3 linked regions of the Lonchura striata genome follow. The protein of the gene in region 1 purifies or fractionates together with the protein of each later gene. This does not show direct contact. Links are inferred from orthologs where the notes say so. Each region holds a gene or a part of one and is shown in the gene's direction. Other genes may lie near its edges.

Evidence for each region.
Region 2: the proteins of RUVBL1 (region 1) and ACTL6A purify together in Homo sapiens (affinity purification with mass spectrometry; 10 studies listed by BioGRID and IntAct, counting the BioPlex papers as one, with this or other methods). This does not show direct contact. The link is inferred for Lonchura striata from reciprocal best matches to the Homo sapiens genes RUVBL1 and ACTL6A.
Region 3: the proteins of RUVBL1 (region 1) and NOPCHAP1 purify together in Homo sapiens (affinity purification with mass spectrometry; 4 studies listed by BioGRID and IntAct, counting the BioPlex papers as one, with this or other methods). This does not show direct contact. The link is inferred for Lonchura striata from reciprocal best matches to the Homo sapiens genes RUVBL1 and NOPCHAP1.

What each region holds. Positions count from the first base shown.
Region 1 is NC_134614.1:13,220,628-13,224,373, forward strand, and holds the start of RUVBL1 (ruvB-like 1), read left to right. Parts: upstream 1-912; 5' UTR 913-985; coding exon 986-1,126; intron 1,127-1,853; coding exon 1,854-1,940; intron 1,941-2,543; coding exon 2,544-2,676; intron 2,677-3,746. UniProt on the Homo sapiens protein: Possesses single-stranded DNA-stimulated ATPase and ATP-dependent DNA helicase (3' to 5') activity; hexamerization is thought to be critical for ATP hydrolysis and adjacent subunits in the ring-like structure contribute to the ATPase activity.
Region 2 is NC_134612.1:20,306,069-20,309,814, reverse strand, and holds the start of ACTL6A (actin-like protein 6A), read left to right. Parts: upstream 1-757; 5' UTR 758-796; coding exon 797-821; intron 822-1,582; coding exon 1,583-1,659; intron 1,660-1,854; coding exon 1,855-2,029; intron 2,030-2,385; coding exon 2,386-2,486; intron 2,487-3,695; coding exon 3,696-3,746.
Region 3 is NC_134607.1:20,280,112-20,283,857, forward strand, and holds the start of NOPCHAP1 (NOP protein chaperone 1), read left to right. Parts: upstream 1-1,471; 5' UTR 1,472-1,494; coding exon 1,495-1,555; intron 1,556-2,315; coding exon 2,316-2,402; intron 2,403-3,394; coding exon 3,395-3,531; intron 3,532-3,746. UniProt on the Homo sapiens protein: Client-loading PAQosome/R2TP complex cofactor that selects NOP58 to promote box C/D small nucleolar ribonucleoprotein (snoRNP) assembly. Acts as a bridge between NOP58 and the R2TP complex via RUVBL1:RUVBL2.

The sequences.
Region 1 (3,746 bases):
CCATTGCAATTGCTCGAAGCTCATTGGGAATACGTGCTGTGGGTGCAGCACAGCCTCAAATGCTTACAGGAAGGCCTTCAAGATGCAGAATAGAATTATTCCACAGTTTCACTGGACACTAGAAACTAATGAGCGACACCGAGCAGGTAAGAGACCATCCCCACCTTCCTTGGCAGGGGAGCTGGACTAGGTGGTCTCAAGTGGTCCCTTCCAACCTTAACGATTCTGTGAATCTTTGAAAAAGTTTTAGAGAACACCCTTGGAAAGTCTTAATTTATTTTTGTGAGCTAAAGCCAGCAGAGGTTTTGTGAAGGCTCAGGGCTCCTGGCGCACTGTCAGCGGCTGTGGGCGGGCAAGGGACAAGACAGCGAGCCAGGGACACCCAGCGCTCCCGCAGCCCCGGCAGCAGGACAAACGCTGGCTCCAGCGCCAAATCGGATTGTAGAACGAAAGAAAGAAAGAAAGAAAGAGCTGAAGTGCGGCAGGGCCAAAAAACCTGCGAGCAAGAACGAGCTGGCTCCCCCTGCGGAGAGCTCCGCTCGCCGCTCCCCAAAACCGCCCTTGTCGATGCAGAGAATCTCAGAACCACTTAGGCTGGAAGAAACGCCCAAGATCAGAATCCAGCCTATGACGGGTCACCACCTTTTAACCAGACCCTGGCAGCGAGTGCCACGTCCGGCGATTCCCTGAGCGCCTCCAGGGACAGCCACCCCGCCACCTCCCTCCTTCCCGGCCCTACTCCTCCGCAGCGCCCGCGCCCGCCCGGACCGCCGGTGCGCGCCGCACGCGGAAACGGGCGGGCGGACCCTAAAACCCCGAGCCCCGGGGCTGACGGGCAGGCTGGGCGTCCAATGAGCGGCGGGAGCGCCGCGGCGCGGGCCAATGGCGGGCCGGGGGCGGGGCGCGCCGGAGCCGCGGTGAGGCGCGGGCCGCGTGCGAGCAGCGCGGGGCGGCCGGGCCGGAGCTGCCGCTGCCCTGCCCCGCCATGAAGATCGAGGAGGTGAAGAGCACCTCCAAAACCCAGCGCATCGCCGCCCACAGCCATGTCAAGGGGCTGGGGCTGGACGAGAGCGGCGCCGCCAAGCCGGCGGGGGCCGGGCTGGTGGGGCAGGAGAATGCGCGGGAGGTGAGCGCGGGGCCGGGCCGGGCAGGGGCGGCTGACGGTGCCCGACCGCGGGTGGGAGCCGTGCCCGGGTTCTGTGCGGCTGCTGCGCTCTGAGGCGCCGGGGGGCGGCCGCGCTGTGCTGGCTCTGCTCCTGCTTCGCGTAGCGACGGGGACGGTCTCCCGGGTGCCGGCGTGCTCACTGGGGTGTTACAGGCAACGAAACCGAGCACAAGTCTGCGGGTTTGATGCACGTAGGGATTGGAGCATCCGCTCCTGTGCGGGCCGGATAAAGCCATCATAGAATCACAGATTGGTTTGGATTGGAAGGGACCGTAAAGATGATGTCTCGTTCCAGCCCCCTGCCGTGGGCAGAGACTCATCCCACCGGACCAAGTTGTTCAGAACCTCATCCAGCCTGGCCCTGAAAGAAGCTCTGTAGGGGATTTGTGGCTCAGGCAGCGAAGATTAATTTCTTGCTTTACTTTCAAACCTTTGTCTGTGCGTGGGACAGCGAGAGGGAAAAGCAGTCGGGGCTCACAGATTGAGTTTCGTTTTCTGTGGTTTTTAATGTGTGTCAGATAAAATGATTGTAGAAAGTATGTTTCCCGAACTTTCTTTTTGTGTGCATGACACTGAAATCTTTATTTTTTGTAAAACCTGTTATTTCTAAATACTTTAGGTAATGTTGGAACAGAAGATACTATAGCAATACTTGTGTTAACGGTATAAATGCCTATTTAACTTACAGGCATGTGGGGTTATAGTGGAGCTAATCAAAAGCAAAAAAATGGCTGGCAGAGCAGTGCTGTTGGCAGGACCTCCAGGAACTGGCAAGGTATTACTTTTCTGTTTTGTTACAAAATAAAGTATTTCCAAATCTGTTTTAATTTGTCAAAACCGTTTTAGGGTAGTGGTTACAAAGTGTTTTCATATGCCAGATTTTTTTTCAATCAATGTACTCATGTAGTTTTCTACTTGATATTTTTGCTTTTGTGGTATCATCGACACTGGGAGTACCCGTTGTTGTGTTCAGCATCTTTAATGTGAAACCACCTCTTGTAGGTTACTAAACACATCAGTAGCAAGAGCTCTGAAAAAGTTTTAGAAGTTACTTTTTTATTAAAAGCCAGAAAGGTTTTTGCTTGGTTTACTTTTTTTCCTCCATGCTATTTAGGCTTTTTGCATCTGTAGCAGGTGTCAAATTCAAGCAGCCAGTATGATGTCTTCAGGGTTTTTTAAAGCCTTTGGCCAAGGTCAACTGTGTTTGAGGAGGGTTTTTGTATGTGAGAAATATATGTCAGACAGAATAGCCATAAATTGGTAGGTGATATATAGAAGGTGATACAATGAGGAAAGTTAACTTTGTGCAAAAATAATAATTTCTTAATTCTCTTCAAAATTAATGTCTGGGTTTTGTATTTCTTTTTTCCTTTTAAAGACTGCTTTGGCTTTAGCTATTGCTCAGGAACTGGGAAGCAAAGTTCCTTTTTGTCCTATGGTTGGAAGTGAGGTCTATTCCACTGAGATCAAGAAAACAGAAGTTCTCATGGAAAATTTCCGACGTGCAATTGGTAAGTTTCAGGAAAAGAAGAATGAAGTGTTTGCATGATACTTTGCTTTTTCCCAGTCATCTGAAAAGGAAAAACTTTTCAATGGTCAAGCCATTTTCAGGTTTTCATATACTTACTTTTTTCAGTACTGATTCTAATTTAGTGAATCTTTCACACTTAGTGGAGTCAGGTTTTGTGTGTACAAAGTGTAATTTAATTTTTGTATTTTGGTTTATACTTCATCAAATTCTTTTATCTGTCAGATTCACCTCTCCATTTTGCCTATGACTGAATAAAGCTGAAAGAAAAAGCAATTTTTAATTTCTTACATTAGCAGAAATACTTGTAGACAGAAAAATACTCTTCCTATTTTTTGTTCTAGTGATTCCACCCTGGTAAATTAACACTTTTAATCAGGGGCTCACAAACAGCAGCATTAGCCTGACTTACTATTCCAGTGAGCACAGAGAAAGTTCCATGCCAACTGAATAAACATTGTAACTTAATGTCTTCCTCAGTTCTATGCTACATTTACAAGTTTGATGTAAATTGGTTTAATTTGCAACGCAATCTCAGTGACTATCTAAAATCTCTTTACACAGCTGCTGCTGACAGCTGACAAATGCAGAGAGAAGTAGCCCTGGTTTGTGTGAGGATTGGCTAAAGAGAACCCCGTTGATTTTAGTCCTGAATGTATTAACAGAAATTTTCCTGTTTCAGTACCATGTTTCCTATTTGGCTTCATCTGGCAGCAGCAGGGTGAAGAAGTCTCTCAGTTCTTCAGTGAAACAAAAGTATTCCATTGACTTTTATAAGGAAGCAACTTTCAGTAGTCTCTGGTCTTCTGGTTACCATGAAACTGGCAGGGCCTGGGGGAGGGAAGCCTCAGTAGTCTGCAAAATTTCCTTGATGTGATGAAGTTCCCTGTCAGAGGTTTAGAAACCTGAACCAGCAGGTGGAACTTAGGCCATCCATGTTGTCAGTGCTAGAGATAGCAGAGGTTTAACAGCCAGCTACATTGTTAGTTCTCTGCATTTCCTGAATGTCAATAGAGAGACTCTTCTAAACAAATATTAGTGTTAATGAAAGAT
Region 2 (3,746 bases), on another chromosome or scaffold:
GCCGAGGACGATGAAGGGACTGCAGTGTTTCGTGAGAAGCTGAGCAAGCAGAGCCTCTCCAGCCTCGGAAGGTGACCTCAAAGTCACCAGGGAGGTGTCAGAGGATGGATCAGGCCCTTCTCAGGTGGTGCTGAGCAGCAGAACAAGAGACAAGGGGCAGAAACTGGTGTAGAGGAAGTTCCACCAGAACGTGAGAAAACTTTGCTGTGCAATGACCGCTCACTAGAAATGACTGCCCATAGGAGATGAGGAGTCGCCCTTACTGGAGATACCCCAGAACTCTCTGGGCGCAATCCTGTGCCACGTGCTCGGGGACGACCCTGCCGGCGCCGGCAAGTGCGACCAGAGGATCCAGCGCGGTCCCCTCCTGCCCGAAGCGTCCCGTGACTGCCCGCACGGTCCCCAGCGCACCTGCCCCGCTCCGCTCGCCCCGCCCGCCCCTGCCCTCTGCCCATCCCCGCCCGCCGCTCCCCTCACACCGCCCCCCGCCCGCACTCCCTCGCCTGCCCGCCCTTCGCGTCCGGCTCCAGGATTGGTTGTCCGCGGCAAGGTCCCGCCCCCCGCCGCCCGGGATTGGCCGGTTCTGCCCGCGCGGCGCTGCTATTGGCGGGCGGGCGACGGCGCTGCGGGTCGGGCCGGGCCGCGGGCGGGGAGCGTGGCCGGGGCGCTTTTGTTGCTGGGTCGGCGGCGAGAGGAGCGGGCGGGGAGCGCGGGCCCCGCGGACACCGGGGCAGGCGGGGAGCGGGGCCGGGCGGCGCGGGCACGGCGGACGGCGGGGCCGGGCCCAGCGGCAGCCATGAGCGGCGGCGTGTACGGGGGAGGTGAGTCCGGCGCCGCCCTCCCCTCCCCCGCCCCGCGAGGCGGCGCGTGCGGCCGCGGCGGGCGCTTCCCGCCTCCCTCAGCCCGGCCCGGCGCTGCCGCGGCCGCTCCGCGCCCCACGCGTGACGGGCAGGCGGCGGCGGCGGCGGGCCTTGTTGGTTCCTCGGCGCCCCCGGGCTGCCTCCCCGGCGCGGCCTTGGGCAGGACCCGCTCTGCCGAGGGCCGGGGAAGGTCCCCGCTCTCTGGGAGCCGGGTGTGGTTCCCCGAGCCCCTCTGCGCACCCCCCGTGGCCACCGCTCGTTTCCGACAGCTTTCCTGTAGGATGTGCGTAGATCAGCGGCGATCGGGCCCGTAGGAATGGGCGCTTATGCCCTGAGCCCTTCCCTCACACAGTTGATGTTTGCACCACCTTCCTCATCCTCATCACCCACAGGGGCTCTGGGCTCACCTGGCTTCGTGTGACTGCTAAATTAGAACTTTCTGAAAGCTTTATCTTGCCATCCGTTAAGCTGCTACTACGTTCTCTCTCTTGTACTAAAATTTTCTTCTAACACCAAACAGGGATTGCAATGCACCAGTTAAAGCCTGTCTGCAGTTTTCCAATAGCTCTCTGGTCGCGGGAGCTCTGAATAGAAAAGTTTGTCCTTGCTTTGTAAAAGATCTCTTGATTTGCTTGTCTTGTTTGCCAGTAAAGCAGGTGGTGGGCAGGGAAAGGTCAGGGTTGCAGAAGAGCATAACCATTCTTTCTTAACAATCTTTTCAGATGAAGTCGGGGCACTGGTTTTTGACATTGGCTCGTACACAGTGAGAGCAGGCTATGCAGGCGAGGACTGCCCGAAGGTGAGAGAATCTGTGCCTCGATGGAAATTGAACATGAATTTATGCCTTAGGTCTTCTTTGTGAGTTACAGCCCTTCTGAACACACTGGGGCTTGTTCTGACTGTATTGTATAAAGAAACTTCGGAATTTGTGAGAAAAACAACAATTTCCAAAACATTACTAGTCCTTATGTACTGCTTGCCTCTTGCCTTGCAGGTGGATTTTCCAACAGCCATTGGTGTGGTGCTAGAAAGGGACAATGGCAGCACTCTGATGGAGATAGATGGTGACAAAGGCAAACAAGGGGGCCCAACTTACTACATAGACACTAATGCCTTGAGAGTTCCAAGGGAGAATATGGAAGCCATTTCACCTTTAAAAAATGGAATGAGTATGGTGCTCTTGTCTTTTTCTACCTGATTTTAAAATAGCATTGCTAGGAAGTTATAGTTGTGTTGGCAGCTGTTATGTACAGCAACAGAGGCCATAGGAACAGATTCCTGGTTTACAAATTGCAGGGAGATGTGGTTGGTTTTCAGTGTTAGTGGGCTTTCAGCATAATTGTTGAAGTTGTGGTGGTTGTGGAGGAAGAGAATTCTGCAGATCTGTTAAAGGAGATGTGTATCTGCTGAGGACAGCTTTTGACTGAAGAACTCTATGCAAAAAACTAAATTGGAAAGCCTTTGTGTTTATGAAATGAAACAAAACTTAGGAGTAACTAACCTGTTTGTCTCAATGTTGTTATAGTTGAAGACTGGGATAGTTTCCAGGCAATTTTGGATCACACTTACAAGATGCATATTAAATCTGAAGCAAGTTTGCATCCTGTCCTTATGTCTGAAGCACCAGTGAGTAAAACCAATTGTGCATTATGATAAGTCTTTTTGCTAACTCTGCAAACATTAGTCCTGGATAAGTCTGACAATGGCTTGTAGGTGACAAGTGCTAAAATGTAGCTACAGAAATGACAGTTTTAAAATACTTGGACAGCTTCTGGAAAATGTCTAAAAAACCCTCATTTTGAAATAGTTTGTATGAGTTGTATTAGAAAGTATTTACAATATGCTATTGTTTTTCACTTACTGAAAAGAAGCCAAAAATTAAAAAAAGAAATTTTACTGCCTAGAATAAAGAGAAAAAAGATGTTTGGATATCTTTTATATTAAGTTACACTTAATAAAGTGCCATCAAAAATCTTGCTTCATTCAGCTTTACAAGTAGTATTAAATGACACAGAACAATATTTATAATAGAGAAGTTTTAATTTTTCTGTCTTTGTTTCTGTAAGTGGTCCTGTAAGGCAGCTGAAGTGGATGAAAACAAAGTTTAAAATGCTCAGCATTTGAAGGCAGATCTTGAAAGTCAGAGTAGAAGAGGTAGACATGCCATAGACAAGTGATGCCTTTCTGTAATAAGACCTTATGAATATTATTTTCTTGAATTTCATAGTTTCCTTGTGTTGAACCACAGCTTTTGGAGTGTGGATGAATTTGCAGTGGCTGTTTGATGGCTCAGTGGATGTCTGAATAGAAACATTCCCATTGAAATTCTGCTTACAAACCTCATCTTACTTTCTTGTATTGGCTTGGAAAAAAATCCACATTTTCCTTAAAGTGTTGAATATTTGAGATATATCCTGGCTTAATAACAACTACAGTAGAATCGTAGGAAGCTGCTTTGGGAACTGGAAAGTCTGGATTTATTTTTCTTCCCACTGGGCAAGTTCCTTCATGTATCTTTCCCCTTGTGGAAGGCAGGGTGCTTGCTTTAGAGAGTTCTTTGGGAACCTGACACTGGAAGAGCTGCAGAAGTGTAAAGAAATCAATTGTAACACCAGAGGTGTGCAGCACTTTTGTGTGACAGATAAGATTGATGTATTGCAGTATAAATGGAATGAAAAACGTTACTAGAAATCCATTTATGTAGAATTGTGGTATAACTTGAAACTGTGGCTGCAGGTTTTCTGCTAACTTCTTTATTGTGTTAGCAATCTATTAGTGTGCAAACGAGAGCTTCCTTTTGGTCACTTACTTGTGGTTTGGGTTTATCATTTTTAGTGGAATACCAGGGCAAAGCGTGAGAAACTGACGGAGTTGATGTTTGAGCAC
Region 3 (3,746 bases), on another chromosome or scaffold:
TTTTCTGGGAAATGGAAATTCTGGAGTGCAGTTGGGAAGAAAGGTGCAGGTAGCAAATTCAGTGGAATGCACCTGGCACTGTGGGTTGGCTGGGGAAGTGGCAGAGGACACTTGTTTGGGACAGTCAGTCAGGAAAACAGCAGGGTGGTCTCTTGCTTGAGGCCTTGCAGAGGTTTGCTTCTTATTCATGTTAATTCCAAGATACTGGGATCTGGGTGATTTGGTTTTTTCCTGTGTTCTTTGCAATGAGGGCCTATAAACACCACTTACCTGATTACTATTTATTCTCATTTTCATCTTGGACTTCCTATCTTGTTTCTTATAAACCATTCAATTTTCTTTTTGCATTTTTCATATTGTCTAGATATGCAAAGACAGAAACTGCAGAAGAAATCCTGAATAACAGACTGGACAGTGTCAGTTGAACTTGGTGGTTGTGTAAGTTTGTTTTCCAGAGGATGATTACAGCTCTCTCAGGGTCTGGCATTTAACTTTTAAGTTCATCTATCAAATTCTGAAAATGAAAATGGGAGAGTTTTGAGAGATAAGCAGCTACTGACAGGCATTCAAATGATGTTACCTGTGGCAAGCACATTTCTCTCCCTCTCAGGATTTTTCATAGAGGTGCACAGAGAGAAATGAAAGAGAAAACAATTTCTATTTCTGCTCCTTGTTTTTCCTATGTGGAATGTGTTTGGAGAATTGTTTACCTGGAGTGAGTGCTTGATTGGATTCTGGTGAGATTGTTTGAGCCTGATGGCCAATCCAATCCATCTGTGTCCGGACTCTCGCGAGAGGGTCACAAGTTGTGGGAGAGTTAGAGTCAGAGAAAGTAGAATGTAGTTTTAGTATTCTCCTTTTATATAGTATATTAATGTATTTTAGCATAGTGATAATAAAGAAATAATTCAGCCTTCTGAATTGAGTCAGACATTGTCATTTCTTCCCATTGTGTTCGTCTGCATTTACAGTAGTTACCTGCTGGCAGCTTGGTTCCACAGGTTTTTAATGGTGATGGGATGGACTTTTTGTGCCAAATCACAGAATCAGTCAGGTTGGAAAGGACCATAGTGGATCATCTGGTACAACCTCCCTGCTTAAGCAGCGTTGTACTTGAGCACTTTACACAGAATTGTGTCCGAACAGTTTTTGAATATCTCCAGTATGGGAGACTCCACAACATCCCTGGGCAATGTGTTCTAGGCGCGTGGTCACTTGCACAGTAAAGAAGTTCTTCCTCATGTTCAGGTGGAACTTGCTGCGCATCGGTTCCTGCCTCTTGTCCTGTTGCTCGGTGCCACCAAGAAGAGCCTGGCTCCATCCTCTTGCCACCCTCCCTTGACGTGCTCATGTTGAGTGGCGCCATCTCCCCTCAGCCGCCTCTCCCGGGCTACGCCGGCCTGCAGCGGCCGCGGCCTCCGCTGCTCCTCCCGCCCGCCGGGGGGCGCGCGCGGCCGGGCGCGCGGGCCGCTCCCCTTCCGCGCGGGCGGGCGCATGGCGGGCCGCGGCGGCGCGGCGGCGGCCCGGGAGCTGCTGGACGTGCGGCCCCGGCCAGGTGAGTGAGTGAGCCCGGCCCCGGCCAGGTGAGTGAGTGAGTCCGGCCCCGGCACGGCGAGTGAGCCCGGCCCCGGCCAGGTGAGTGAGTGAGTCCGGCCCCGGCCAGGTGAGTGAGCCCGGCCCCGGCACGGCGAGCCCGGCGCCGCCTGCAGCCAGCGGGAGCTCGGCTCGGCCACGCTGCTCGTGGTGCCGCCCGTGCCCCGCTGGTGATCGCGTCCCGCGTGTACTGAAGAGCTACCCTCCGGGGAGGGGTAATGCGGAGTAGATAAGCGGGGAAATCCGCGCTGAGCTATGGGCAGTCGTAAGGACGCTTCTATGTGACCGGAGAGAAAAGTTAAATAGAGCGGTGCGCTTTGGTGAATGATGCCGGGCGGATGGCTCCGCCGGCCGTCATAAGGATAATTAATGGGTCATTAATGCCGAATTCCTGGCATCGTTTGGGTTTCCCGGCTGCCCACAGTTAGTGGAGGTCGCTGGCACCGGGATTTAATCGGTGCGACTGGCGCGCCTCAGCTCCCACCTCACCGAGCCTCGCAGAGGGGGATTAGAGGTTGTTTTTCATGCGTTTTAACTTTAGCTTAATTAAACTGTCTCAAAAACAGCTTAAGGAACTTCAGCTTAAACTGGAGTGTGTGAGAGGTGGCCTGCAGGGTGAGAACCTGTGCAGCCCAGTTTTCTTCCAAGAGCAGCAAAAGCAGATGGTAATTACGGAAAACTTGTCAGCTTAAACAGTTCAATACTCGTTTGTTTGTTTGCAGGGCTGGAAGACATTTTGCTGATTAATTCAAAATGTAGCAGCAAGAATGCCACAACTTTACAGACTATTAAGGTGCCAAGGAGCAATGGTAAGTAAGGAGGAGTTGTCGCTGGAAGTGGTCAAGTAGTAGGTAACATTTGTGACACAGCTTTTGCTTTGGTGCTTTCCTTTAAAAGGTAAAGAGAGAAGCTTTTGGGTTCAGTTTCTAGAGATAGTAGGTTCTCCTCCCATTACAGTTCCATGTCCCACTGGTGAGTCACGTAAATGCTGCTGCTGCTGCAAAATTAGATTTTGCAATGCTAGGCATTACAGCTCTTGAGTTTTAGGGACAGATGGTTCTTTCCCAGTATGGAGTTGTAGCTTGGGCTTCTTATCTCTTTTAGAAGTAATTTCTCAGTATGATGTATTTGTTGTATAAAAGCATTTAATTTAAAAAGGACTCCTGTCAAATTATTTTTTTTATGTTTTGTGATTGAGCTGAAATTTTAAAAGATTGTTCGATCAAATTCTTTATTGGATAAAAATCTCTACAAAGATGACAGTGTTTCAAAGATAGCTTATACTTGTTAGGCTTTGTGGTGCTCACCTGAAACAGTACCTCTTCTTAAAGAAAGAAAACTAGTGCTTGACTCATCTCCATGTGTGGAGCAGTTTATTTGAAGAAATTCTGGAGGTGAAAATACTGTCTTTCTCCATGGAAGGGTTATGAGTGTGAATCTCCTAATTCCATTGATTACCTTAAAATTCTTGTGAAGTCCTACTGAGCTGTAGAGGATGAGTGCTTTATACTTCAGCCTGGAGTTTCCATCTTTCTCCCACTGTCTTAATTTCAGAACTTCTTTTGTTAACTATGTTGACCTTTCATTGGTCTATTACGGCATCTGCTACGGCAAATTTTTCCATCTTCTTTGAGACCTTCAGTCTATACTTAATTATTGCAGATAGTCAGAAATTACAGTTGAAACAGAATCAGCTATAAAGGCTCATATCTGAGGTATAAATGTGAACACTAATGAACATCTCTTTGACTTACATTTATATTTATATATAAATATATCTGTGATAATTGTTTCTTTTCAGTTTTGGACCGAGTGCAGAGCTTTTTACCACAGATGGCCCAGGCAAATGATGAGCTCAAAAGAAAAATGGTAACAGCACCTGCTCATGAGTTTGATATTGAACATCTAGACAGTGAAACAGAAAAAGTTATAGAAATGGTAAATGTTTTTTTTTATTATTTTAATGTAAATATAGATGGGATTAAAATAACTCTCTGATCTTAGAATGAGTAATATGATAGATAAAGTGAAGTCTTGACCATTTTCTTTACCAAGTCTTTGATGTTCTAATTCAAAACACAGATATAACTAAACATGCTTATTTGGTTGAAATTTGCATCCTGGTTTTCATACTTGCAGAATTTAATCACTAG